3 linked regions of the Drosophila melanogaster genome follow. The main gene of each other region encodes a partner of the protein of the gene in region 3 in a complex. Each region holds a gene or a part of one and is shown on either strand. Other genes may lie near its edges. The genes, in order: Tim17b1, Tim17a2 and ttm3.

Region 1 (8,989 bases), on a different chromosome or scaffold from region 3:
CCTCCCTCACCAAAACACCCGTCCATTCAAATGCAAATGAGCCAGAGTACATAGCATGTGCATATGTACATATGTATTGTAGAAAGAGCCTGTGACGCACCTGCATGACATAACTATAAAGCCACCTTATGCTATGTGTATCTATGTATCTATGTTGCATGTTGTGCATGTGCATGGCCCGACTTAAGTCTAACCCACATTTGATAACCCATTCGTAGATCTAAGAAATAACGATAAATTTGACTTCCAGCGAATTGTGACCATAACCATTGCCGCATTAAATTATTTTTGCGGTCTGTAAATAAGCCGGGCAAAAAACTAAATCTAAATCGAAATCGAAAACGGCAGGCCGCAAATATTGATAATTTATAAGGCGAGAGCGACCAGTGTTCAAATTATAGATTGTTTATAGATTATCTTAATGTTCGCTGTCGTCTTATTAACGAATTCTGATAATATATAAGTCGCGTATAAGCGTAAATAAATGGCTGATGTTCAAGTGATGTCAGATTGATGTTCACAGATTAAATCGGCGGTTTGAGGGGTGTGAGATAAGGCAGTTTCGAAGGCAGTCGAAGTGAGAGTATGTGTTCCATTGTGATAATAAATAGATTTGCTAGGATGCGAATACTCCAGGCCTATCCCAAGAAGAGGTCGCAACCTTTTGGTGAGTCACGTGGAACATAAGAAAGTACAATCTCTTTATTTTCAATTTTACATATGCAATAATCACCAATATTGCACATTATGTGTGCGTGCATCGCACATTACGTATACGTAGCGAAAACTGAGTCACTCGCTCAGTTCACTTCGGCTTGTCTGCCATTCTGCCATTCTGCCATTCGATGCGTAATGTAAGCACTGTGGGTAACACCCCCGTGGGTTGTTGACACACAGTTGGCTCGGTGGAACTGTGCCAGTAAAATGCTACTGCTACTTTTGTTTTTTCGGTGCTCATGCCACTGATCGTAGCCCAGGGCCACATTCCCGAAGGTAAACAATGCACAAGAGCGATAAGATATTTGTATGTACCTATGTACGTATGAATGTACGTATGAGCCAGCGATCGAGCCCTGAATGACTTCCATTCGGCTTTCAATTGCTCAAGAGCCTCTGGCCAAATGTGACTCGTCGCATTGCGGATACTTCTGGAGATACTTGTGGTATGGAGAACATCAGGGGATTAGTAAGGGCAACTATATATACATATGATGAATAAGATGTTTCATTTTATCCTCTATTTTGTGTGTCCAACTGGTTAATGCGGAAGCGTGTCTATAGCAGTTAAACTACTGGCTGGCAATTAGTTACAGTGATTAGCACAGTTAGAGGTTGGGAATTGCTCAGTGACACAACATGAAAAAGATGTCTTAACCTATAATCATTCTTTACACTATACGAGTATAAGTATAAGATAGTCGCTGAAATATGAATAGTACATATTTGTTGAGAATTAGTTGTTGGAAAAAGAAGAAGCAATTTTAATCTGTTAGAAATGTTAGCTTATTCGAAATATTTGACCTTCTTGGCAGAAAAATAGAAGAATGCGAAAAATAAATTCACGGCCTCCGAACATAATATTTGTGTCATTTACAATTATTTAATAATTATTCATGTTTGCTTGCCGAACAAAGACAAAATATGTACCTATCCATTTCATTTGAGCGCGAAAGCCAACTGTGCAAATGGATTCCATTGCCATTTCGCCGTCTGAACTCAATAACTCGGAACGTGGTCGTCATCAAATGTGGCCAACTTAAATCAAACACAGTTGTTTCAACCAGGCTCTTGTTTTTGCAATGGTTTTCCACGCGAAAAGGCCTAGAAAACGGCGAGCACGAAAGGTTTTTTCAGCTGCGCAGCCAGGCACTTGAAGACTTTCCATGGAAAATTCTCATTGGCGAACGGGGGTAAATATGGCTATGAATTAAAAATGGGAAAGGCAAATAGCTGATGGCGACAAATATGCGTTAAATAATTATTTAGTATTTGCTGCCGCCGCTGTTTATTTGCGAACAAAGGCACTTTGCATGCGCCTGCTGCCAGCTGAAAACTCCAGTCCGCAATTATTCTACGCGCTCGCGTATTTATTTTTTATCATTGATATTCAATTATGGTTATCGCCAATTGCGCTAATTGGCAACGCAGTGAAAAGACACGCGCAAATAAACTTTTATTATTTTCAGGGGGAAGCCAAAGAGGGGTTCCTTGATCGACAGAAAGAGGCTTTCATATACTCAAGCTTATGAATAGCCCCCTCCTGACGATTCGGGTACTTGGTTGTCACATTCACATTGTCACGGTGATACAACTATCTGGGCAGAGGAAACCCTATTTTCCCGCCCGAAATCGTAACGGAAATTAGTTTTGCCAATCAAACGGGAACGCAATAATAGGGAAAACTGCTCTTATGTGAGTGCAGAAAGAGGAATGTAGTGCAGAAGAGATGTTTTAATAAAGATAAGCACTAGCAACCTTTTAAAAAAAAGGAACGATTCAAAGTGTAACTTAAGAAAATCTAATGATATATAGTAGAGTACCCTTGATTTAGCTAGTGAGAAACTTCAATATGTTGTTGGCATATCGATTGAAGTAGCAGACAAAAACAAAATAAATAAAATCCATTTGTCTGTTACACACTTTTCTAGGAATCTAGTAGAATCCACTGACTCCACGGGTGCAGAAACAAGCATTATAAAGTGGAATATTTAGGCTTAGATATATTAAGGTTCGAGTTTCTGGCTTGATCAAAGGAGTTTTGTAGGAGGAAACCCCAAATAAGTTTGGAATTTCAAGTATGGAGCTTTGAAGCACACGCGCCTCCCAAAAAGCCACCACACTTCGGCTGGACTTCAGACTGTCTATATAAATATGCCGAAGCAAAATATATTTATGATTCTAAAACTTGCACTGTACGACAATTGAATTTAAATTGAAATGGGAATGCCGCCAGTATCAGATTCGAACAATCAAAGCAATCTTTTATAAATTGGTATGCAATCGTCGATCCACGCGTTCGCGGATGGATAGCGACGACTAGGCGATGACGCAGCGAAGAATTCTACAATGCCGAAGAGTCAATCTGGAATTAAAGAGTGTGAGTGGCGGAATTATTGAGGCGTATTATTGCGCAGGGGATTTCACTTACCTCTCCATAAGTCGCTGCGAGTGGAGAAACGCCCTTTTGCTGCCGTAAAAGCTCCTGCTTATACCGTTGCTGCCGCTCCACGGGCGACACCTGGCGGTAGGAATCCGCCGAATAATGGGACACCACAATGCCCACGCCCTCTATTAGGGCCAATAGAGCCCCGCCCACCAAGGCACTACTGAGCATGGAGGTTAGTCCTGCCAAAAAGAGGAATAAGCAAAAAAGTAAATATTCGCATATTCGTGCGATAATAGCCATAAAGTTAAGCAGAAAGAAAAACAAGGCAAAAAGGATATAAGGATATAAAAGTCCTGAGAAAGCATTGAAAACCAGCCTGGTTTACTAATTGTTAATGCATTTGTCTGAAAAAAAAAACTTTAAAACTCACCAGTTCTAGCAGCAAGAATGCCCCCGGTGGTTGCTCCACTAATTATGGCGTTCCACGGGTCCTCCTTCTTCCGGAAGTAAACCAGTGAGCAGTCGATGGCGCTGAAGGTAGCGCCCCACACCGCAAAGTTACCACCCACCAGGCCGGATCGAGCCCGTACCGCCGCCAATCCTCCGCTCAATCGGTATCCCAGGCCGGAGGGGGCGTTTCGAAAGCCCTTGATCGCCTGGAAGGCTCCTCCGCCCAAGGCGCCCATTGCGAAGGCTCCACCACAATCCTCGACAATGCGAAAGGGACAAGGCTCCCGACCGTACTCCGCCATGTCAGTTGATTATCGGACTCAGGAGAGTTCAGTCGATAAAATTGATGGGGTGACAGACACACACAGCAGAATAGATGGACAAGTCAAAGCCTCCTTGAGAGCGATTTTCAATTCAAAGTTTCATTAAAAAACTTTTAAAGCAAATAGAAAAAATTACATTTTAAAATTAGAATCAGTAATTAGAAGCACTCGACACGTGTGTTATTCCTTACAAATTACTTATACTTCATACTTTTCCGATTTAATTCTATCGAACACCTAAGGACAAGTCACATGAAAATCGTGACTTCTCGCCAATTGTTTAAAGGCTGATCTAACAAAAAACAAAACAGATCAAAAACCGTTTAAAAAAACATTTAAAATGCGTCGTTTTGCCGTATTTGGACACTCGCTGATCGTCAAGATAATCATTACAAAACGATAGCAATTGCACAACAAAAAGGTTGAATAAAAAAGGCAAACGGGCTGCCAATAAATAAATTGTTATTACCCGGTTATGGTCACAATTCGAGCTGGAAATTTGTAAGTGATAAGGATCGCAACAGATTGCGCTCCGATCGCTACAAGCCCAAATATTCCATTCCCAACCGATTTACAACCACTCTCCCACTTTTCCAGGAGCAAATCGCGCAGCGTGGATCACGGCCTTGCGGCTCCATTCGACTTGGACTCGCTCCGCTCCAAAGTGGAGCAGCGCTTCGAGAGCGTCGACAAATTATCAAGTAAGTCACTATTCAAATAAGTATAATTTAATTAGACAGACTTAAACCGATGGAGAATCTTTGGTTAGGGCAGCAGATGGATGCAGAATTATATGAAAATCATTTTGTATTTCTCAAAACAAATACTTATTTCGGGAAGGATCCTTGCTGAACCCCGGCTTAAGCCCCCTGTATCCACTCACTTTCAATTAAAATAGTTCAATTTAAACTTATATGTAATATGAATGTAAAATTTGTGTAGAACTCGTAGGTTCCTCAAGTCAACGCTAGGGTATTCTGCCGCCAGGTGTCGCTCATGCTCACACTCTATGTAAAATCGATGTATTATTAGAAAAGTGTACATATTGAATCAAATCAGCTAGCAAAAAGGGTGTTTTTTTTTTTAATTCTACAGTATTCCGATTCCGATATATCAGAACAGATTGTACTTTGCGCGTTACATTCAATTTTAGTGCCTAAACCAGAGGCATTCTTAACATAATCATAAAATAATTTTCATTAAAAAAAAAAACATACTTACTTACTGGCATTAGTTTGAAGTTGATTCAGGGAATTGTGCGCCAACCGGGGGGTACCTATAAACAAATTCTTATCGCACCTCCCGTTTGAAAGTGCGCGCCAAAGCTAACAGCGCTGATAGTTGATTACATGTATGAATGTAATTGTGACAGTTCGAGAAAACTGATGAGCCCGCAGTTTTAACGATACAAAAAAACCGTATGATACAGGGCTAGAAATGGTGGAATTGATTGAGATATACTGGCACATGCCAACCAACGAGTTCTCGGTTATCTACCACTGCCGGCAGCAGGTTCCGCCCACAGGTGTGATCTGCTCGCACTTGCGACCCGATGGCGACTCTTTCGAGGTCTTCCAGCAGCGTGCCCCGAAGAAGCACGATCCTCCGAGTAAAGAACTGCGAGCACGTACCTCCAGCGATACGATGCCATTATTAATTATGATTTCTTTTCGTTCCGCAGGGCAAAAGTCTTCATTGCCCACCATACCCACCATTTCCTACACCGTGGGCAATCGCGACACCCTGACCTCCGTGGCCGCCCGGTTCGACACCACGCCCTCGGAGCTGACCCACCTCAACCGGCTGAACAGCTCCTTCATCTATCCGGGCCAGCAGCTGCTGGTGCCGGACAAGAGCGCCAAGGACGACGCCTCCAGCAGCTCCACCCACGACGCGGACGGTGCCAGCCTGTCCGGCAAATCGAGTCCGGTCGAGCGCAAGTTGTCCGGCGACGAGAGCCGCGAGAAAGGTAAGAACGGAAGCCAACCCAGGCGCTGCTCCGTGGAAATGGTGCAATTGGTGCGACGATAGTGAAGCGTTTGCCATCATCGCCGCTTGAGATTTTCATTTTCACGAGCTTTTTACATGCATGTGCCAACATTTTTTGAGAAACTCCGTATTGCGTTCTTCCATCGCTTTTTGGGTCGCATTTACTAGAGAAGTCCAAACATTTGCATACTATCATATATCCAGATGCGCAATTAACTGTACATATCGCTTATTTGATTTTAGTTTTTTTTTTAATTAGTTCTTCTTAATAATGTTTTGTTAGCAACTGCGAAAAGCGGCTATGTTTATTACATTGTAAAAACTAAACTAATTTGGAAAACTATTGAACATTTGAAGCCCTCAAAAATGTTTAGTATATAAATTGATATATAATTGCTATAATTACAAGAAGAAGTTAGTCTCAGGGCTAGCTTTAACTTTAAAGTAACTTTATTCAGCTATTTAATACAGAAAAGGTATGTGCATATGTTAATTGATTAATTTCAGATGGCAAATTAATGTTTGGCCACATTTTGTAATAACTTTAAGATTTTTGGCGCCACTTCTTCCACAAACAGCATTGCAGTTTCATGAATAACCTTACTTTAGACGAGAACTTTTTAGTATATTCCATTACTATGAGGTATATATAAACAACCGAGCTGCGGTCACACTGCTGGCCAATGTTGACTGTTTCATAGAACGTGTTTTTCCGCTGTTTCTCACTTTAAAAAGGCTATAAAATCGAATCGGTCGAGTGCCGAAAGCCACGTACTGAGAGCCGGATAATCCACGACGTAGAGTGCGCCCGGACGTACTCGATATTCTAAGTTTCAGCATGCACACGGCTGTCTTCTGGCGCAATGGAGGTTATTGTTTGATTTTCTACCTTTGTTGTCGCTCCGATCTGTGAAAAAGTGCTAATTGCGGTTGACAAACTCCTGGCCTTGAAGGTCCAGATATTCCGGAAAGTATAACCTTCGGTCAAGCAAGGGTCTCGTTGTCCATGTCCCAGGAAACCGAATCTCGGTTATGGATGATAAAGAAGTTGCACTAATAGATTCAAAAGGCATCATAACTATTGTAGTTTCGAGCTAGAAACTAGAAATTACACTGTTAAATTTAAAACTTACTACCACCCAGTTAGTCGGAACTATTAAAAAGCCCTTTTCGAAAGTCGTATAATGTATAACATTTCTTCCCATCCCATGACCCTATGCAAAAGCTACACCCTTTAGGCAATATCTTTACGACATCACCTTACACGCCGAACTACCTAGGAAAAGCGCTATAATGCCGTTCCCATTCACTGGTCGTAACACCTAGAACAACAAAGGGGGTCACAAGGCGTAGATTTAGTTTAAACTATCCCATATATCAATTTTGCTTTCACAATCTTATCGCGGCCACGGGTGTAGTTGATAAAATCACAGCCCAGCAAAATAGTACCCGAAAATCACTTGCCCCTAATATAATATAATAACTAAATGGCGTTTTTGCAGCCACCTAGCCAGCAAAGATATTAACCAAATGCCGCTCCTTGCAGACATACTCGAGGGCCTGCGCCCCGGATCCCCAAAACCGGGACACATCGAGCGCGTGGGCGGCAGTAGCCAGCAGCAGCAGGCGGAGGAGGAGGCCAACAAAAGCGACGATCCGGTGATCACACAGCGCTTCCTCAAGATCAATGTGCGCCACATCACGGACGGACAGGGCGTGGTGGGCGGCGTCCTGCTGGTCACGCCCAACGCCGTTATGTTCGATCCCAACGTCAGCGATCCCCTGGTCATCGAGCACGGCCCGGAGAGCTACGGCGTCATTGCGCCCATGGAGCTGGTGGTCAACGCCGCCATCTTCCACGACATTGCGCACATGCGAGTGGCCGGAGGAGCAGGTCAGGGCCTGAACTCCGCCTCGGGAGACGCGGAGAAACCGGAAATCTACTATCCCAAACCAGTATTAGTCGAAGAAGACTCCAAGGAGCTACCCGAGCAGCAGTCGCTGCTGGGCGAAGACGGTAATAAGCGCTTAGATGGTAAGTTCCTCGACGGGTCATTCCTGAAATCAAGTTTCTGTAACTCCTACATAAAATCGTTGAAGATGATTAACTGCTTAGCTTGCCTAAGATCGTTCGGAAGCAGAAGTATAGAAACAGTGATAAAATTTCCTTTTTCAGAAGAAATTCGCTTACTAATGCTATTTTCTTATCTAACAACAGCAGAAATAGGGTCGCTGGAAATCGCTGACGACCAAGAGTCGCTTTGCTCCAGCACTGGACGCGATGGCGACGCGTTTCCCAAAGCCTTCGACCGCGAACGTGTGGAGGTAAGTCATTTTTATCATATTACTCCTGTGTCCCAACTTATTGCTCTTTCATTTTCTACAGGACTCTTCTATGGAAGCCAAAGATAGCGCTAAGACTGACGCTCTAGACGATGAAGACAAGAAGGCCGGCCTGGGCCTCTCCAGCACTCGCTCCACCCTCGAGGAGCGGCGCAAGAGTTTGTTGGATCACCACTGGGCCATTCCGAGCAAAGACCGGTTAGTGTTTGCCCAGCTGCCTCACGCTTGTGTTCACACATTCTCCAGGCATTTTTGTTTGTTGATCCATTTTAAGATGTTTTTTCTCACTTCGCAAAAAATGTACATTTTTTGTATAATTGTACTTTTGATTTTTGAAGAACGTATTATAATGTTCGATTTTAAGTAGTTAACATAATGTAAGTAATTTGTTTACCATTCGTATTTTTACCATAAACATTATTATTAGATAATTTGGTTTACCTAATCGAAATGGCAAAGTTTAATCGCGAAATTATAAATTGATTAATTTCATACATCGTATCCATAATACCTTTTGATGGAAATGCGATTTGAATCTGTTTTCTGTTCTGTTCATGATTGCCATAAAACTCATTAATTTGATAACTCAGGACTATAAACGCATTTCTAAATCAATGAAATCGATAGCTATATATAATCGAGAATATATTATCTCAAGTAGACTTCATGAAGTGAAGTGCTTGAAACACAACTGTGTGAACTATTTCATCACTGGAAAGCATTTATAGAAGATAAGACTTTGGCTTGCCAAAGACCACTTTTAATTGTTTTAATAACT
Region 2 (12,235 bases), on a different chromosome or scaffold from region 3:
TCAGCTTTTGGGCAGCCACACTGCCGCTGGAGTAGACTGCAATCTGGAGGCCAGCAGCACGCCAAGCCTCAAAAGCTGCAGGGACGTCTTCGTATACACTATAATAACATTTATAGATAATTAATTAATTATCAATAATAATGAGTTGTTGCGTTGTACTTTTGGTTACTATGTTGAATGTTATCTGATAACTATTGAAATCAGCAAAAGTTAAACATTCCCGTGCGGAGAATATAGCTAGCATACATATTTAAAAAATCACCAAGCTGTATAATTGGATCTCAGAAAGACACCCAAATTATTTTTGGGAACAGACGTTAAGTAAGCCTTTTCTTTGATAACCTTCTAGAGTTCAGATTGTAAAACTTATATGGCCATGATAGGAGAATATTGAATGGGGAACTTACTGGCCCTTCAGCTCTCCATTAGCGTAGCCCTGCGCCCAAATCAAGCCCTGCAGCGTTTTCATTGGCGTGACCTTCAGATCCTGATCAATTAAATAGCGCACAAAGCCTGCAATCAGATCTACATCCACTTCCGTAGGTGGACCACTTAACAGGGCCTTGTAGTCCGCATACTGGGGCACTTGCTGTAGATCCTGGACAATACGCTTTATATCATCTTCTTCCCACGAATCCCTCAGGAACTTTTCCACATTCTGCTTGGCGTAGGGAAACAGGACATCGTGCACAAAGCTAATCGAAGTGGTGGTGCCCTCGATGTCCACCAGCACCACTTTGGCCACTCGTTCACTGGACGACATTGCGCTTATTAGTGGGATTAAGTTATCACGAGGAACCAGTTGATTTTCCGCCCAGCATCTGTTTAGTTTTGATAATGGAGATGGCACATCGCGCTATCGACTATCGACTTTAAAATATATATATATAAATGTATTGGAATAGACGATAAGGGTATTTGCCATTCTTAGAGACCTTGCTTAATTGATAAACGATCGACTGAAGTTGTATTAAAGTAATTCTTATGGGGTTAATGGCCGCTTTGAGTTAATTTTCCCAATAGCTTTTTGTTTCCGAATCTTGTGCAATTAAATATTAAAGCTAGTAAATAAAAATAGCGAAATAAAAAGCTTTGATTACCGTTAGTATATAAGTGCCAGTATAAAATAATCACCACTAACGTTGGCTCGTTCAGCTATCGATACCTACTGCCCGCCGGTAATAGTGCTGTACAACGAGTACATGTCAATCGCTGCACGCTAAGTATCGGTCGACGCCCATCGCTATCAAAAAGAAATTTTAGTGCTGAGTTAAGAATTTTTCCCTTTTTTTGCACAGTTTACGCGGTTTTTATAAACAAGGGGCGTAATAGAGCTCAAGGCAGGGTATAAAACAGTCAATAGGGTTAAAAGTTGCAACCCTAAAACGTCTTACAAAAGAGAATACTCGCAGGAAAAACCAACAACAATGCACATATAGCTGCCCGTGCGTCTGTGTGTGTGCGTTGTATGTGCGTTTTTTTTTGTTTATTTGGCAAATTCGGTGGCCTACGTGATTAAAATAAGCACAAACAGTCTTAAGTGAAATGTTGGCTAAAACGCCCGAGTGCCGTAATTCGCATTGATAACAAATAGCCATAATCTGCGAGCGTGTGTGTGTGTGATTGCCTCAGTTGGCGTAGGTGAGGTGGGGTAAAAAAAGCTGGGAGAGCTGTCAAGGTTAAAATCGGTCGTCGCCTTTGGCTCTCCTCTCCCGCAAAATGCAATGAGCAGGGGTCGCGGAAAGGTCAGGGATTCAGCAAGCCATTCCGGCTCCCACTCCGCATCCAAATCGGCCATGGACCCGCCGCGCTGCTCCATCTGCGGCACTCAGCAGCAACTACTGCGCTGCGCCAAGTGCAAGGCCGTCTACTACTGCTCCCCCGCCCACCAGCATCTCCATTGGCCCGACCACCGCACCGAGTGCCGCCTCCTGACCCGCCAAAAGCTCAACAGCAGCAACAACAATAAGCAGCAGCAGCGGCAGCAGATCCAGCAACTGCAACAAGCTGTGGCATCTGCCAATCTGGAATGCAGCGGCGCCGGCGCCAACTGCTCCACCGCCCAGATGATGACGCCTGCCCACCAGGCGCAGAGTTGGCCCGCCGAGGTAGACAACCTGCTGAATCTCCTCGGGCAGCCGGGCAGCCAGGAGAAGGCTGCAGCTGCGGAAACGGAAACAGGTCAAAGGCAGCAGCAGCACCAGCATCATCACCATAATGGCGAAAAGAGCTCCAGCTATCAAATCGGTCTGGCGGATGCCAGCTTCATGGGATCAGGAAGGTAGGTCGTCAGTGGACAGGTCAGATGTTTCAGTTTCAACAGTTTTATGCTAAAACATAAGTTAAAAATGTATAATACTATAATACTGCTCATGGTGGCACGCTAGAAGAGATATATTTTTCTTAGAAGCTCTTTTGAGCCTGCATAGTGCCATAGTATTTTATTAGATGCAATCAAATATCAGCTGATCTTTTATTGAAGATGGAAAAATATTCTCCATGAGATAGAAAATCATTCCTTGTACCTACTGGGCTTTTAAAAATAATATAAGATTAACGCTGAATATCGAATTAACACTTAATTTGGAAGAAGCATGGGAGGTTGACTTAAAACCTTAAAAGCTTTTCTATCAGACAATTTCGGCCAGCTTTACCAGATCGACCAACGAGTGCATTGGCTTCATCAGTTGCCCCAGTTCCTTACCCTCCACTGCGTCCGAACGCATAGGCTGCTGCATCTTGTTGTGTGCCCTGTATGCCCGACATTCATCCAACACCCGCTCTAACTCCGCCCCAGTTAGGTTCGAATCAGCAACGGATGTCTCCCACTGGGGTCTCTGCATTTGCTGGTCAACAGTGATTAGGGACTCCTCTGCTTTGACTCCTCCATCCGATGCATAAATCGTAGCCACTGCTGCTCCAGCTCCTTCGAGCATGGCTAAAACGAGGCAGCCCACAAAGGCACTGTTGGCCATGGCTCGAATTCCATTCCGGGCGGCTAAAATTCCGCCAGTGGCCGCTCCGCTGACAATCGCGTTCCAGGAATCCTCCCTCTGGCGGTACGAGACCATGACGCAGTCCACCGTGCTGAAGGTGGCGCCCCAAATGGCAAAGCTGCCGGCTATGGCCGGTGTCCGCAACCTCACCGATTCTATACCGCCGTGCAAGCCACGTCGAAGACCGGACGGAGCGTTTCGGAATCCCTTGAGGTACTGAAACAACGATCCTCCCATGGTGCCCATCATAAAGGCGCACCCGCAATCCTCTACAATCCTGATGGGACACGGCTGGCGATTGTACTCCATGTTCGGGTGATGTACTGACCAAAAGAATCCGTAATTAATTCAAAACTTGATTTGTAGTGAACTTTCCTTGTTTTGCGAATATGTGCTATCAGCTTTTGACCAATATGGCCTTTGATTAAAAACGTGTGTTTATAGATTATACATAACTTTGAGAATGTTGCCTTACGACTTTTACGTCCGTTCTAACTAGATACAAATATTTACCAATGGTCCTACAAACGAAATATACAGTTTGTCAAGAAACTGTTTACACACTGTGAAATAAGTTGAATTTTTGACTTTAAAGCTAAAAATTAAAGGTTTTTTGCTTAATTAAACGCATTTTTTTTATAAAATATAATTAAACAATATTTATTTTACTTATAAATCAAAAAACAAATTAAAAATATTAAATATACAAGAAAAAAAACAACAAATTCCAAGTTTAAACACTTTTGAGACTGTCAAGAAACTCTTTACACAAAACACTAAATCGATGTTTAATCCTAAATTTTTAAATTATTTTATTAAAATTTTAAAAGTTTTGGTATGTAGTATGTTCCCCATTGGCTTTAGCTACAAGTTGAAGCCCTTTTTTCATGGATTGGACAAGTTTTTGCAGGTCATATTCAAACGGGATCTTTTCACACTCTTCGACTATTACAGTCATAAGCTGTTGTTGTGTTTTAGGTTCCTTTTTGCCACCTTCTTCTTTAAGTAGGTCCACAAATTTTCAATGGGGTTCAGATCAGGACTCTGAGGGGGCGTATCGATCACTTTACCACAGTTATAAGGGCGCCAGGTGCGTACATTGCACTCTTTATGTTTCTGATCATGTCCTCTTAAAATATAAAATTTGGCTTGTTGTTGCTAACTAGATCAAATTTTTCTGCACTGGCCTTCAAATTTGTTTTTTAAAATTCCTAGATATTGCACGGCAATTATTGTGCCCTCAATTAAGGCTAGTTTTCCCACTCTACGGCTGGTGATACAGCCCCAAACCAACAGTGACATTTTTCCAAATTTTATCGTTGGAATGATATTTTGTTTTTCTAGCGCACTCAACGGTTTGCGCCATACTCTGCTTGGCCCGTCGTTATAAAAGAGCATCATTTTTGTTTCGTCACCAAATATGACGTCATCCCAGTACTCTTCCGCATGATCCATCATGCTCACTGCGAATAAATGACGCTTTTCAATATTGGCATCTGATAGCAAAGGGTTTTTCCTTGCAACTCTTGAAGAGTACCTATGGCGTAGGATGACTTGGCGCACAGTTTCGTGTGACACAGCTAGGTGACATTCTTGCCTGATATCTAGAGCAAGTGATCTGACCGAGATTCGGGGGTTCGCAATCACTATTCGCATAATAAAGCAGTCTACACGCTTTTTAATTTTAATTTTCCGCCCACCACCACTCTTAGGTTCAAGCCTGCCCTCTTTTTCCGAGCCTTTTAAAACATTGTAGACGGTCTTACGGGATACAGGAAACATTTATACTAATTCTGGAAAAGATTTTTCCAACTGGTGGTTATAGTTTATTAATTGGGTAACTTCAAAAGTTAATCTCTTTCCAGGCATTTTATTAAATTTAATAATTCGCTTTAAGCACGTTTGATCAGCAAAATTTCACAAGCAAAGTCAACAAATTTCAATAGAAGCGTTGTAAAAAGCAATGCAAAGCCAAAAATAACGGAAAAATCGAGTTCGTTCTAAGAAAAAGAACAAAACAAAGTAGGAAAACAAAATGTGTAAAGAGTTTCTTGACAGTCTTAAAAGTGTGTAAACTTGGAATTCGTTGTTTATTTTCTTGTATATTTAATATTTTGAATTTGTTTTTTGATTTATAAATAAAATAAATATTGTTTAATTATATTATTTAAAAAAATTTCGTTTAATTAAGCAAAAAACCCTTAATTTTTAGCTTTAAAGTCAAAAATTCAACTTATTTCACAGTGTGTAAACAGTTTCTTGACAACGTACATAGATCGAGCAAAAACTTGTACAAGAAAAATGCCACTCAGATATTGATGAGTTATTTTCAATATCTTATTGAAAACATCCAAATGACTCGGTAGAATAGATTTTCTACGTTTTGGTGCAAGCTTATCTTGAATTTGATTAGCCATGATTTCACCTGATAACTAGTTATTAAATGTAACTGAACCAAGCACCGCGATTAGCTAGCCGACCGCACACTTGAAGTTGCGTTTGCAGTTTGTCCCGGAGCGAAATCTATAGCCCCAAATATACCCCACTAGGTGCATCCTCCTGCTCGTAGCCCCCTATCGTCTTCACTTGCACATCAAGTCAATTACGATAAGCGGTTACGTGCCCACTCCTGAGAAGCCTCACGAATCAACAGCAGAACATGACACAGCTGATGACATATCGCTCATATGGCGCTGAAGTTTATGGTTTTCGCGATCCTCAAGCTTCTTCGCAGCTGATTTATTGGTTGTTGATATACAGCTTATACTAGTTACCTCGCAAAAGGTCCTATAACACAAATCAAAACATTGAATAGCACTGCTAGATCATCTTAGATCGCTTGGGTGAATTAGTATAATTGTATTAGCCAAACCATGGCTCATTTTGGAACTGCTGCTGTTAAAGTATACACAAATCATATGATATAATATTACAGGTGTTCAAGGTAAAGCTTCCAATCCAATGGGGAACCAGGAAAGGACTCTTTAGGAGACAAACACTTGGTGTTGGTTTTAGATTGATGTCTGCACGTACTACATAGGCTGTCCGATATTCTCAGACGTAAAAGTTTAAAAATAGAAACAGTTTGTTTTCCCATTCAACTCATCGCATTGTCAGATGAGATTCGTAATTGCCCTGCGATTTGACTGTCTCCGGATTGCTAACATTCTGCTCCGAGATGGCACCTCTCGAGTCGAGTATTTATTTACCTTCGGCATTACGTGCCCGGCCGCATAGTGTATATGGCACCCATGCCCGATCTGATAGCACCTGCAATCGCAGCCGGACTCGCATTCTTCCGGGCGGAGGTGCTGACTTTGTAATTATTCTGTTGCGCAGTTTGTTGCGTCCAAATCTTTAATACTCGCTTATTTATTTTGCTTTGCACCCCGGCATTAACGAATACAACAAACATGAACCGCACACATCGGAGCACATATAGAAATTTGTTCGTAATTTTATCTTTCAGCCAATCCGGCTGAGTCATCATCAACCCCACACTGTGCAGTAAATTATTTTGTGTTCCTGGATGTGCAGTTGTAGCTAATAAGTGCAACATATGAACTAATTCAGATAACTTCCCACCCGATAGTTATGATATTTTCTTTTTACTTGGATACACAAATAAAAGCCTTCATTTTTCTATGTTACTGTTGCAAATCGATTTTGTCAGGTGCAGTATTTTCTACCTTCTTATCGCCCGAAGTGGGTGGGTGGTCCGTTCGGCCGGGAGGTCCGGAGCGTTTTGCCTACGTGCCGGGAATACGCAAGCGTATCGTTCAAATCGTGTTATCAGAGTTTAGCGAATGCCTTAGCTCCGAGATTTCAATCTGCGGCGGGATGTGTTGTTCTTTATCAAACAATTAGCGCAGTCGGACCGACGTGATCTCATTTCCAGGGGCTTGCAAAATTCCGTCATTGTTTAGAAATGTGCTAAAATACATGTGTCAAGCAACTTGCTGGGAAAAACAAACAATACGGTTGCGCAAAACTCGATGAACAGAAAAAGTCGAAAAAACCGCATCTTGTCGCCACCGAATTCCAATTTGAATCAGCAATATTGATAGGAAAAGTCAATATGGAATCAATCCATTCGCGGATAGTTTGCTCTGCTACTTTTTGATTTGCCTAAGATTCAGCCAGAATGCATTCACCTTAGCGTTGCTCACCTCATTTTTTTTCATTTCCGAACTTGAATGTCTAAATGTAGTTTTGAAAGCAGAGAAAGTGCTTTCCAGTTTAAATCAAATAAAGTTTATTTAGATCGAATATCTTGCGATGTGAACTATGCAACCATTGGAAACATTAGAAATATAAAACTATTGCAATGGTATTTAGTTTAAAAATATTCGTAAATTTCCTAGGGATTTCCTTAAAGGTTCCCCTTTTCTATTTATGTTATCCACTTCCAATTGGGTGTAAACCCATGTCTGTGGTCTCCTTCAGCTGTGTGATGGATTCCCAGTGATGGATCTCGAACCCAGTGCGAGCCCGAGCGAGCTACGTAGGCAGACGCACGTCACCAAGGTCGACTGCCACTCAGTGCGTGTGCGTCGCCACGCCCCTCTCCCAGGTGCTTCTCCGCCCACCAAAAGGGCTGCGAGTTGGTGTGGTACACGTGCCGCAGTCGCCGTTGTCGCACGTAATACATCACAGACAAAAAGGGCGCCAATCGATCATTACAATGTACACGAAAACGTGTTTGCACTAAAAGAAATCAGTTCAGTTTAGTGGCCATTTTGCTTCGAAACTGGGTTGTGTGGGACTTATTATTATTGTTAGCCCAAGGGTATTACCAAATAATAAATAATGTATAGACAGGACAGAAGATAGAATAATCTTTATTCCTATTCCATAAGATACTTTTGATATTTTTCGTTACCAATTTTATGACTGATTTATTTATTATATATATATATTATATTATTATATATATTATATATCTTGGTTACAGAATGTTGGGCAGATTTCTGGGATATTTCTTTATTTTAATGGCGCTTTAAAAGGTCTCCCCGATTTCTCTGCGTGCACGTTGTTTGGCGGCGACTTTGAACTGGGCCGTTGACCCAATTCTTTGGTTCGCACATTCGCCTAGCTTCCGCGTGCTTCCGCCGTTCTGTGCCTCATCTTCGTTAGTGTTTCTTAAGCATTTTTAGCAGATATTTGTATCAAACATTTTAAATATCTACATTATCGCTGACCTTCTCACACTCCCTTCGCTGGCGACCATCTCTTTCTGACTCACTTGGCTCTCGCATTAACGCCTGTGCGTGTGGCTTCTTTGCGTTTGTATGGGTCGCTCGCATGTGCGTGTGCCAATTGCGCATTGGTGTGTGTGCTGGGCTACGTGACGATTGTTGCGCTTGTCTTTCTGCCTTACTGTTTGCCTCCGCTTTTCCCCGCTTTTACGTTTGCAATTGGTTTGGCTTGGCAGAGAGTGTTTAAACTCTCTTGAAGGGCAAGCGGAACGAGTAGCTTCCTCCCGCTTTCTGGAACCTTGCGGGGTATCCGATCCCATAAATTGCACGTTCAGTTCGGTTTTTCGCTATCTGCAGCTGCCTTTTACCTTTTACCAATATGTACGTATTTTTCATTATTTGCTCTCACCTACCAAGGTGCTGCTTATCGCCTTAAGCGGCTGCTTCTCCTTCGATTATTTAGCTGCTTCCCAGGCCCCCAACTTTCTGATTTACTCGTAGTTTCATGGACGCTCTGAGATAGTGATGAACGGATTTGGGAGGCGGACAGAAAATAGCTAGAAAAATTTGGTTACAGCAAACGAACTACAATTTGTAGTCCAAACTAAACCTTTTCTACGATCTTGATGTTATCGTATTAAACGATTGTATTCCGAATCCGGGATAGACGTACAGTTCACCTTAGCCAATTTTGAACTGGGGTTTAAATGCCTCAAGTATTGCTCGTAGATGTCCATTTAATTTATAAACGTTAACACATGTTCGACTAACACACCAGAATTCGAGCACTCATAATCTAGTTTTTGGCCATAAAATAGCTAGATTGTTTTCACCTGCTCTTAAAACGCTCTGCCTCTCTCTCCTTCGTAACCAACGGTAAAGAGCGAGAGCGACCTGCTCAGCTGCCGCATTCGGAAAACGAACGGCGACGAGTGCGGTTCGGTTCAGCTGCTTCACATTTCACTTAAATTAGTTAACCGAAGCTGAGTAATACACAAACGTGACTAACTGTGCATAAACAAAGTCAAATCAAAACAAACATCTGCCAGTGAAACAAAGCGAAAAGTGAAATATATAGGCAGCCGGCCCCAACAAATGCAAACTGCAATAATACGTACCTCCCCACCAACACATTTGCACCTATATACCATATAATATAACCGCCGGTGTACGTATAACTCGCACTCTTTCCCTCTAAAATTCGAGGCTCCCCTTCGCATAAAACTCGCTGCAAATTATAAACTCCCTTCAGTTGCACGTGAAATTCTGGAGGAGTCGTTTGAGAACCCGTCATCTCCCAAGAACAGTAATTAACCAATTCAGGGTATCTAAAAAAGGATCCTGAAACAATTCAAATGCCAAGAACTTAATTCACCCTTTCTCTGCACAACAACAACTAATAACTCTGTGGAGATACAAAGATAGGACTTCAGTCTTAAAGCTGTCTCAAGAGTAATAGAGTTCTTGTGATAACAGTGAGAAGCAAGCTGACTAATCAAGGCAAAATGATAACCTCCACGACCACGGACTACAAAAACTTTTTTAAACACTCGGCACATCCTGCCAATGCTGAGCAGTACTTTCGGGAACTTTTGGACAAGCGGTAATGATATTTTAATTACTGAATTAAAGTTCCTAAGGAACAAATGTAAAATGAGGCTATAATTAAGGAAACCTCCTAAGGAGAGAATTAAGAGTGTCCACATGACAGTGAAGGATATAAATATTTATTGCCCTTAGGTATCTAATCTAATTTCCCCGAATTAACTTTAAGTTTCAATTTTAAAAAGAGTTTTTAAGCTAAGGGGCTTTTGAAAACGATGTTGCTATTACAATACAAATCTCATTCTACTTTTTAAAATTCCTTTAAACTTTTTCAACAATGAACATCATTTTAGGTGTTGGATTCGTTTTTTTAGAATAGTTGTTTCTCGGGCTGAGTATTAACTATTTTCTCTTCTGGATTTCACACCTCTTATAATCTGTTAATTATGGTTTGCATTAACTTGGGCTATGCGAATGTCAATAAAACCGGTTAACAGTTTTGGTTTGTGGTCGTCAATGTCGTCTTTCGTGTATCGTAATATTTAGACAGCCGCTGATTTTGAATTCGTATATTAATGTGTTGGCGGTAGCGAATTTGCTTTCCTGCGTTGCGTGCAGATAGTTCTCCCCATCCCATTCTGGGAATTCGATCAACAGCGTGGCACGTTTCAGTAATATTTGTATTTTTGCGACAACCATTTGACTTTATGACTTTGAATGGCGCATGTGAACTTGTGCGAAATGTTTCATCTCTGTTTCATATTTTTCGCAATGTGTTGCTTTGCGTTGCTTATCCGGAATTTCGCGATCATCTGGGCCAGTTGAGTTCTGGGTGGCCTACGTGACTGGGAACCACCGACATGTATGAAAATATTTGTTTTATGGGCGCATCATAAAAAAGTCGTAAAATTGTATGCATCGCAGTACCCGTTGCTCAAACGCCTGTAAAAAAGCTTAAGCGCAATCGAACTTTTGTGCTAAAAATAGCAAGGAAAAGCGTGAACATTAATTAGATGCAGGGGTTTCCCCAAGGTGACCTCACTCACATCGGTATCTCTAATTCAGTTACAGATTAACGGTCTTGAAAGGTCTATATACTTTTTCTCTTCGTCTCTCTACTAAAAGGGAACGTAATTAACATAAGATCTTTGTTTCCCTTCTGATTTTCCGCAGTGAGCGCCGCTATGAGGATCTGTGCCGTAACATCATCAGCGACATGAACCAGTATGGTCTGTCCGTGGTGGACGACTTCCTGGGGATGGAGACGGGCCTGAAGATCCTCAACGAGGTTCGAAGCATGTACAACGCAGGAGCCTTCCAGGATGGCCAAGTGGTGACCAACCAGACGCCCGATGCACCCGCGGTGCGCGGTGACAAGATCCGAGGCGATAAGATCAAGTGGGTTGGTGGCAATGAGCCGGGCTGCAGCAATGTCTGGTATCTGACCAATCAGGTGAGCAACGTACAAAAGAAATACTTTTATGGTCCCTAAACTACTTGCTTACTTAAGTTAAGAAGTATAATCTAATTTTACCTTTCAGATTGACTCTGTGGTGTATCGTGTTAACACGATGAAGGATAATGGCATCTTGGGCAACTACCACATCAGGGAGCGCACGAGGGTAAGCATATGCTGTGAAAATACCTTTGAGATTATGCTAAAATATGATTCCTTAATCTTAGGCAATGGTCGCTTGTTATCCGGGATCGGGAACTCACTACGTCATGCATGTGGACAATCCCCAAAAGGATGGCCGCGTTATAACGGCCATATACTACCTGAATATCAACTGGGATGCGCGGGAAAGTGGCGGCATTCTGCGGTAGGTGTAATAAATATACCTGTGATATGAAAATCAACCTAACTTTAATCAACAAACAGAATTCGGCCAACACCCGGAACCACAGTGGCGGATATTGAGCCCAAGTTTGATCGCCTGATATTCTTCTGGTCTGACATTCGGAATCCCCACGAAGTGCAGCCCGCTCACCGTACCCGCTATGCCATCACCGTCTGGTACTTCGATGCCAAGGAACGCGAGGAGGCCCTCATTAGGGCCAAGCTGGAAAACAGCAAGACGAACAATCTGGCAGCTCAAGCCCAAGCCCAACAGGCTGAACCAGACTCCACCACCACACCACCCGCAGCACCAGCTTCATCCGCATCCAGTCTGCCGGTTAGCATGTCCACGGGAACGGGAGCGCTGAACGCCAATGTGTCGAGTAATTCCTGCGCCACCAGCAGCGAAATATGCACGTAACCCAAGCCGACAGCGCAGCTAAAGGCAACCAAAAAGTGTAAATTATTTTCAACCAAACACACATGTATAAAGCTAGTTAAAAACTATTTATAGCTTCGGAGGGGCGGCAGCGCAAGCCCGCATTGCGAAAGTTAATCAAAGCTCCTTTAGTCGTTAAGCCTTCTAGTTTAGTCTCTAAGTCGTACCCTTAGTCATTTTCGCATTAACCATTAGCTTACTGCCATGTCAGCGTCCG
Region 3 (9,153 bases):
ATCCGCAACCCCCACGAACAATATTTCTGCTTTGGTAGTGTACGGTAGGGTGGTGGGGGGGTGTTGTTTCGTGGAGGGAGGGGGCTGCAAAGGCAAATTTTAGTGCTTAGGATAAATAAATTGCGTAACAAATGAACCAATGTTTATTGCGATTGTTGCGTAAATTGCAGTGCATTGACAATGCCAAAATCTATGTTGCGCCGGCTGCACTCAAAATCTGGCAAATGGTTGAAAATATTTCGGTCGCGGTGCAGCCGCAGCCCCCAAATCTGCCCTATTGTACACCTATCTATGTGGCCAATTTTAAATGGAATGCGTAATTAATCGCAAAGCATTCTGGTACCGTTTAAACTCCGGTCTTCTCCGCCTCAAATCGAAAAAAAAGTCGAGCTCGCCGCTGTTGGATTTTTATGGCCCCATTTATTATATACGTTTCTCGTAGATTAAAGAGTACACCAGGTTCGTCAAAAAATATATAACAGGTAAATGGATGCGTTCCCCACCTTATTCTTGATCAGGATCACCAGGCGAATCGACCTAGACATGTCCACATTCCGTAGCCCATACGTTTGAACTTGTTCTTTGATTTAATCATTTGCATAGACGATTCCGATCGATATCTTGAAAATATTTATATATATTTACATATCTAGGAAAAATCCACAAACAGCCCAATACTGTCACACGCGCACTAAAACATGTTTTGTCTTTAATTGTAGTGTTTTTAATTATAAATTTTATTTTTTTCTTGAATTTCTTGAATTTCTGTTGATATGCCGAACGACTCACTTGTACTCCCGCAATCTGAGTAACGGGTATCTAATAGTCGAGAAAGTATTCACTTTGTTTTGTTATTTTTACCGGTCCCGAATGTCCCTTCACATTAATGCGTGCCTAGTTTATGGTGCGTGAATAAATGGATGGGTGCAGCAAACCATTCGTTTACCTTTTTGATTGTCGCATCCTGCGAAAGGATTAAATGGTTAAATAAATAAGTAAATTTTGTCGTTAGCGTAATATTTATAACCGTTACTGGTAGAGAAAAGGGTATGCTAGATTCGTTGAAAAGTATCAATTTTAATTTGATGTCCATTTGATGTGCTTTGGCAACAACTTTTATTTAATTTTTCTATTTCGCATATATCTACTAGTAACAACCATTAATTGTAGTGGGTGTGGCAACGTTCATTAGACCCTATATGCCTAATCTTAACTTCTTAGTTCTTATAGTTCCCTAGATACGAACGGGCAGACAGACATAGCCGGATCGAAGTGGTACTGTTTCTGATTAAAAATTACATCCTTTTCAACGAATTATGTATACTCTGCGGATTAATAATCTCCTGTTGTCTGGTACCTCCGGGTTAAAAGTTCGCTGTTGCTGTCGGCCAAAAATGTATATTATCTATAATGTTAGATATTTCTGGATCGCCGAGATCCGAACACTAAAATGGATGGTCGTTGGTTATTTATGCCACAGCACCTTGCATCTGGTCTGCTTATGGAACAACACCCCGCCCCCCCCCACCACTGCTGACGACAGCGTTCTTTAAGAGTCCGAATCCTGTATGGAATGGCGGATGTACGTTGCTGTTTGGGACGGGTTGGCGCCCCAACACTCGCCAACACTTTAGGGTGCAAATTTATGACCGCTTTTTTCAGCTGCAGGTATGCGCTTTTCCGGCCAAGTACTTAATTGATGTTGCGTCGCGTAAATTATGAACAAAACAAAAATTAAAGTGGACTCCATGCTGCTCCTTGGCTTTGTCGCTGGTGCTGCCGGTGGCGGAAATGCTTTCATAGCAAATGGTGGTGGCGGCGGTCCCATAAAATAACAACGCACCACCGAAGAGGCGACCACATACGTATACAAGCGTACATCCCATTCCGGCTTTGCCAACGGTAGTCAAGAGACTAAGCAGGCTGCTGCGGGGTCAAGCACAAAAGTGGTGCTCTACTCTCCGGATGTCCATCTGACTCCTACAGCGCTAAACCCTTTCCACCTGGTTCAGTTCGCATAAATTTTAAACTTTTTGCATCGTAAAGTGCCTCGAAAAGGATAGTATGGGCAGCAACAGTGCGATCGGGCGACCCCTCTGGGTGTCCCTTTGTTACCTAACATGTGTTTCATTACCGCTTACCAGTTTAATAAAATAATCTGGACACATGGCAGTCAAGCCTTTCAATAATAATTACAATATAGATTTTTTAGATGTTTTTGATATAATGCGCTTCACGGGTAATTATATCTGCGACCCTCAAGGATTTCTTTCAATATATTTATCTCTACAGAGCTCTTCATCTCCATAAAAATTATCTCATGCCGTACTTTCGAGTTAAGCCGCTGCGCCAATGTCCCTAGAATCTGTATGCTGAACCTTCTAGCTTTTATAGTTCCGGAGATCTCGACGTTCATACGGACAGGCGGACAGGCGGACATGACTAGATTGACTCGGCTATTGATCCTTATGAAGAATATATATACTTTATATAGTCGAAAATGCTTCCTTCTCCCTGTTACATACTTTTCAACAAATCTAGTATACCCTTTTACTCAACCTGTAATGGGTATAATTGTGTTTAGCTTGGCAGTAAATCTAGTAGACCAATTTAAACTTCGGTAACGGATATAAAAATCGAAACCTCTGTGGTTGTCGAACTGCCAAAACAATGAAAATAATTAAAACAAATAATAAAATGTAAAAAAGGTAAACAATTTTGAACATTTAAATTACTAGATTAATGACTAGATTTTTTAGTTTCCAAGATCAAGACGTTACTACAATAGATATAAGGTGCATAAACGAAAATTTATTTGATTGAAGACCCTCGAAGGGAGCGTCCCAATAAAGTTAAGTTCCACTGACGTTCACTAGTTGGTAAATTCTGAATGCTTTCCTGACTCTGCTCCTGCAGTCGACGTTGGTTGTCCTTAAACTGTTCCATGGGGTCCTCGAATTGGCGATAGTATCGCAGCACCTCCCTTACATCATTTACTTGGTGTTCGGCAATCAACTGCAGGAAAGCCGTGAGATCAAAGAGCTGGACATCATCATCGTTACCCAGCCACTTTGTGAGCACCAAGCTATTATCGGGATGCAGGGGAGTGGTATACGGATCACAGTCCACCACTATCACACGGCTCAGATCCCTGTTAAGATAATCGAGGTTCTTGGTATGCTGACCCTCTACCAAGTCCGTGGCACCTCTTACTAGCCGATATTTTATGTAGCCATAGGGATCTAAAGCATCCAGAAGGGGGAATGCGGTCATACCTTGTTCAGAAGTATATATCACAATTTCAAAATTTCGACTGCACTGCTGAAGAAAGTAATCCACACCAGGCCGCTTTTTAAACCGCCACCCCGTCTGATAAGTCCAATCTGGATGCACCAGTACGTCTTTGATTTCCAGCACCAGTGAATAGGGAGGTTGTATATACGGCGGTGGGACAACATTTGGCAGCAGCCTTGCCATCTGGGGCTCTTCCATCATTTTTTCATAATACTGAAGTGTGTGCCACATCCTCATTATGTACTGGCGGAACCAGGGAAGCTGACTGAACTCATCTTCTATGGGACCCCGATGGTCTTCCTCGGGCTTGCCCAGCTTATAGATGGCCCACATGACTATACTGAAGAGACTCCCCAACACAACACTGTAGGTATAGAAATTCTTGATTCTTCTTAACTTTGGTGGTGAATAGTTTTTGTCGCATCTCTGTACTGTTTTTCTAGCTGAATTCAGGCATATTTTCTCGCATGGACTCAGAAGACAGGTCTTCTTTTTACCGATGTAGCCAATCGACTTATTTAAAGTTCCAAACCAAACAATTTTATGCATTTGAGCTAGACGTTATTTTTTATTGACTTAAGACACTAAGCACTAAACACCGAATCTAACAACTTGTATATACCCAAAGTAAATACCCTCGTGGTAATTATATATTTAATAAAAACAAGAGGAAACGTTACAGTCAAACATTATTTTAGCATAGAAAAAAAAAACATCACGCAAGGGTAAAAAGTAGTGACGATCCCAACCAGAAACTATAGTTAGAATTTAAACAATTTAAATATATACATATATTTAAATATATTTTATTTAAATTCGACACTTTTTATCAAAATATTTGTTGCTCTCCGTTGAAGAAAGAAACTTCCGCTGCGTCTATGACGTGGACATGATCTAAACTTTCTAGCATTTATTGTTTCTGACATTTAGACGTTCAAACGAACAGACAGCCGGGCAGACATACTGACAGATATGCATGGCCAGAATTCCCGTCGACTTAAAAAATCTTCGGAAGAACGATCAAACCCCCTCAGAAGAGCCCATCGCAGCCCTCTCTTTCCTTGTCGTTGCGATTGAGCGGTCGATGGAACGTAGGTGGGACCATTTATCCTAGGGCCAAAATTAATGTTACCTTGGACTAGACGCATACAAAATTTTTGCTGACTTTGTTACCTTTTGACTACGAAAATTGGAAGGACGGTTGCCGGCCCTCTAATAAAAGCAGCTGTTAGCCCGATTAATACGTACGTAATATGCTGTTTGATTATAATTACCGTATCCAACGCTTTATTCGTCACTTGCTTTTTACTTCGTAAAGAGGTGTTTTCTTTTGATTTACCAAATATGAACAGCACTCACATCCCTTTTGAATATATAATTACTAATTTGACTTAATCGTAAATCGGAACGTACATACATAAGCAGCTCAGGTGGACGCAGGACACCAGGTAGAGGAGCTGGTCGCAATCAAGCAATGCCAGTTCAGATAGTCGATTTGTCATAAACAATCGAAATCCATTTAAAATTGTACATGCAATTCCGCAAGAGCCCAATTGAGAGACAGAGAGAGAGAGAGAGAGAGAGCGACAGAAGCTGCCAGATGCCGACACAGTCAACACCTCGTAAAGTGCGATGGGCGCTGGAAGTTTGGGCTGGTTCACTTGTCAGCCAATGTGCCACGTCCTGGCGTGTCCTGCGCTTTCGAGTGTGGCTCAGTGTGTGTTTCTGCCCATTTACCGAGACCTGTGCCTGTGTATCGTTGATATGATAATTGGCATGAGGTAATAATCCACTTGGAAACGTTGGCAATCGTTTGTATCGCAATCACTGTCAAGCCGCCTGCGTCTGCTGCTCCCTTGTGCTGGTATCCAGTGTCCTGGCGCCATAAAGTATAATTTTCCCAACCGTGTTCTCGTTGACTATTCGGCTCCTGGTGTTCCTGCTGGTCCTTTCGTCTCTTCCGCCATTGAACGGGCGACATATTAAATAACAATGAACTGCAATTGCCCAACGAGTCTCGTAATTCGTTTGTAATGCGTGCAGACGCACAGATTTTAAGCAGTCAGCAGGCACATGTCCTTCTGGAACTACAGTTCCACTTCCATTGCCATTTCCCCATCTTTCCTGCATCCCCATTCGCTGGTACCGCCTTTTTCTGCCGCCTGCAATACCCACTTCATTGTCATTGCCTTCGTCTATGTGCTATACTGGCTTTTGTCCTTCTCATGGTTCATAATTTCTGATTTCCTAGTTCAGCTCGTTAGCCAGTTAAATTTAATCACTTTTCAAAATTGGTTCGGTCTGCTGGAGTATTTAAATCGGTTCCGCAATTTATGCGAAAATGAGTGCTACTCAAATGTTGTGGAAAAGACAGACTAGCTCAATAAAGTCCAATAAAAAGGATTACGTTTACTAGTAATCAGTAGAGGCGTCTAGCTTCAAACCATTTAGACAAATTGGCTGCTTAAGAGTTATTTGAATAAGCGAAAACTGTTTCTGGTCGCGGTTGTACATGTACAAATACAGTGCCGCTCAACTGAATAGGTTTGACTATTTGTTTAGGTTTGAAACGTTGTAACTTAGTTATATGCAATCCGATTTAAGCGAAATAAATTTGTATGTATGAATAGATCAGTCGTGTCTTAAATCTTAAAAAGTTTCTGATCCCCTAAATTTGTTTTATATCATTTTTATTTTTTTTTTTCAAAAACATAAAAAATTCTCATTTTTTGGCTCAACTTTTTTTCTTAATTTCTGTTATTTATTATAAATTTGCCAACTCCGCTTTAGTAGTGTGCAATCCCGGATGCAGTGCCTTTCTTAATTGCACATCTCACCCACATACTCAGGGACATTATCTGGGTAACTGGGATCTGATATTCAATATTTTGTTCAGCAGTCATTTGACAGCACATCACAGTTCTGTATTAAACTTTTACATTTTGAAGCCAGTGCAAAGGGCCTTACTGATTTCAGTCACTTTGAGAATATATATTCTTGATCAGTGCTTGATCAACAGCCAAGTGCAAAAAACCATCCCAAAAGTCAAATATAGCCGGATTTTTTTAGTGTAAACGAAACGGCCGGACCTCTATATGGCGGCGAAATGCTTGTATTTTATTGAGGCGAACTAATGCCACGTCAGTGGACTAAGGACAACGCTAAGATTAAAAATGAACGGAAAATAGTTTTCTCGTCTCTATTCTTTTGTAGGGGTACTATATATCCTCTTATCTAAATAAAACACAAACGCAGGAGTTGGCCTCTTTGGTTTATTTGATACTTCACGTGTTTAGCTTTAGCATTCGACTGACTCCCTCTCCGTTTGCGATCTGCCTCTATGCTTGTTGCTATGCCACCCGAAAGCGAACAATGACTGAATGTTTATATACTATGTTGCTATTATGAACTGATATTATGTATGTGTACCTCAAGCCTACTACACTTTTGATCTCAGCTTAAGACTAAATTTTTGTGAAAATTGCTGATTATGTGAATATGGGACATTGGTTGTATTGGGACATTGGTTGTATACAAGAGTGGATTCTGTTCTTATTCTTATTTCTTTCTTTTTATTTCTTTGGTCAGTGCTCATTATGTAAATAGTAAGTGCAAGTCTTGGGATAAAAATAATGAAAAAAAACACCATGAATTGAGTTCCACGACTATTAGATACTCTTTACTCAGCTAGTGGAAATTCGAACGAGAAATTGTATAATTTTTCTGGGATATCGACAGATATTGGGGAACAAAAAAAATTTGGCTTTTTGTGAGAATCAAAATGAAAAAATTTTAACAAATTTTTAAAATGTGTGGCAGTTTTATGCGGTTTGTGGGCGTTAGAGTGAGCATCGCAATTTTTTTTTGTGGAAAATTGATAAAAATTTACAAGATTACTAAAAAATGAAAAAAATTTCGAAAGGTGCGGGCAAAAAGGTGTTGGATGGATTTTGAGCATTAGAGTGTTACATACTTTTCAACGAATCTAGTATACCCTTCTTTATGTCTTTAGTGGGTACTACAATTCTTCTATAACTTCTATACCTGAAAATATTTTGTTGTTTACCCACCTCAGGGTCTGTCATCGCATAAATGGGGACTCGGTTTGGAAAGATTTGGAAAAGGACTCCTATTTCAAGTCTCTTGTGTCCCGTAGCAAATCTACTCTATGGCTATGGCTTTCGTGTTCGGCATTGTCGAGAGCTGCGCAAACGGTGTGAATTGCGTATGGCCGACGCCTAAGCCGCCATGGCTACTGATGCTGCCTGCTTGTGCGAGTTAAATGTTTAACAGCCAGGTGCTTTACGTCGGCCCTCAAGTAATCGTGGTCCCCACGAATAAGTAACTTTTGATTTAAATTTTAGATTTTTGAGTCAGAGTTCCCACAGCAACAGTCAATACTTTCGGGAGGAAGTGTAAATCCATAAAAGAACCGAAGACACCGTACAAACAGAACTTCTGCTTATCAGTAGTCAAAGAGGTCTTGCAGTATTTTCTCCGGAGACTCGCAAACCCAGGTTGCGTGACTAATCCGAGTGCGGTATCCTTCCCTCCATCCACTTTTCTCGGATTCAACTATTGCCCCACATTTGACCCACAAAGACTGTGATGGGCGGCTTCTGGGCCCTAGCTCGTTTATTCGATCAAAAGTTACGAGCTCATCTTAGATTGGACATTAAATGGACACTAAAATATTTTCCTTTTGCACGCAGAGCTTCGAACAAGTCCAAAACAGGGATGGAACAAGCGAAATAAATGTCATGAAACAACACATTGACAGGCACATAAGAACGCTGGTTTTATGGTCCACAGATATGACCAAAATATATGATTACCATGTGTCCGGCAACATGCAAGCTCGTAAATAGGCATTTTCCCTGCTTTAGCTCTCATGAGCCCGTGTCCCACCCCCAACTGCCACTTCCGACTATTTCCCCATCCTTTTTGTATCGTCTTTTTTTCACTGCTGATTTTTGTGGCTCCGTCTTTGGTAATTTAGCAAGTGATCCAGGTGGGACTTCTAAGGAGGACAGTCACAGTCCGTAGGGCAATCGTAAAAATCAAAATAAACTGAAACTTATGCGAGATATTCGGGCTTTGGAATCTTAGGATTTTTATGCTAAGGGTGGGTGGGTCAGTTGCATGCATTTATAATAATGGGGTTTACATTTTAATGGAAGCCACAGAGTAACCATGTGGCTTAGATCATCCAATTCGTTGAACTATATTTAACCCCTTTTTTAGTCCTGTCGCTTAATAAAAAAGGGATACGGGAAAATGTAGTGCTTAGCATGGAACATTCGATTAAAATTATTTCAACATCTTCATAAGCAAAAAGTAAAGTTATGAGAACTGTCACTCTTGTTTTCAATGTTGACATACATATGTACAGACGTCTGTATATAAGTATATTAGTTTAGTTTTAAAATTGCGATGCGAGGAAATCAAAAGTGTATCACGTTTCGAAGATCTGCAAAATTGTACCGATGCGAGGACCTGCGTCCGGAACTCATCTTAGGTAGGTTTCGACAGTTATGCATCCGTAGTCCTGAGTGTATGCTGATTTCTTCTATCTTATTCAGGCATTACGTGACCTGATTACGTTAGTCACGCGCGACTGCTGGGGCTTTGGGCATCGTGGGTTGATAGTTTTGCATCAGTGACCACCATTGCTGACAGGTTAGCTAGAAAGTGCAGGGCTTTTGTTTTTTCCATTATTTTGCTTGCACTACACTAGAGACCTTAAGAAAATACCGATAAGATTTTCGGCTTCAATTAAAACCGAAAATGTGGATGTTCTTCGAACCAAACTCTTACAGACATTTACAAAACAATATTTCATGACATCTTCAGCGTTTT

Evidence for each region.
Region 1: ttm3 (region 3) and Tim17b1 share a complex: the UniProt entries of both Drosophila melanogaster proteins name them as parts of the TIM23 complex.
Region 2: ttm3 (region 3) and Tim17a2 share a complex: the UniProt entries of both Drosophila melanogaster proteins name them as parts of the TIM23 complex.

Annotation. Positions count from the first base shown.
Region 1 is NT_033777.3:5,295,061-5,304,049, reverse strand, and holds Tim17b1 (Tim17b1), read right to left. Parts: upstream 3,906-8,989; 5' UTR 3,859-3,905; coding exon 3,537-3,858; intron 3,346-3,536; coding exon 3,149-3,345; intron 3,083-3,148; coding exon 3,062-3,082; 3' UTR 2,864-3,061; downstream 1-2,863. Other genes in the region: mtd (mustard), read left to right, coding at 4,477-4,580, 5,561-5,848, 7,415-7,903, 8,087-8,193, 8,255-8,409. UniProt on the Drosophila melanogaster protein: Essential component of the TIM23 complex, a complex that mediates the translocation of transit peptide-containing proteins across the mitochondrial inner membrane.
Region 2 is NT_033777.3:5,255,841-5,268,075, forward strand, and holds Tim17a2 (Tim17a2), read right to left. Parts: upstream 6,853-12,235; 5' UTR 6,686-6,852; intron 3,320-6,685; 5' UTR 3,306-3,319; coding exon 2,631-3,305; 3' UTR 2,496-2,630; downstream 1-2,495. Other genes in the region: Enoph (Enolase-phosphatase), read right to left, coding at 1-98, 408-763; Hph (HIF prolyl hydroxylase), read left to right, coding at 1,725-2,281, 10,913-11,192, 11,281-11,361, 11,423-11,562, 11,622-12,000. UniProt on the Drosophila melanogaster protein: Essential component of the TIM23 complex, a complex that mediates the translocation of transit peptide-containing proteins across the mitochondrial inner membrane.
Region 3 is NT_033779.5:22,074,378-22,083,530, reverse strand, and holds ttm3 (tiny tim 3), read right to left. Parts: upstream 3,900-9,153; 5' UTR 3,844-3,899; coding exon 2,812-3,843; 3' UTR 2,793-2,811; downstream 1-2,792. UniProt on the Drosophila melanogaster protein: Essential component of the TIM23 complex, a complex that mediates the translocation of transit peptide-containing proteins across the mitochondrial inner membrane.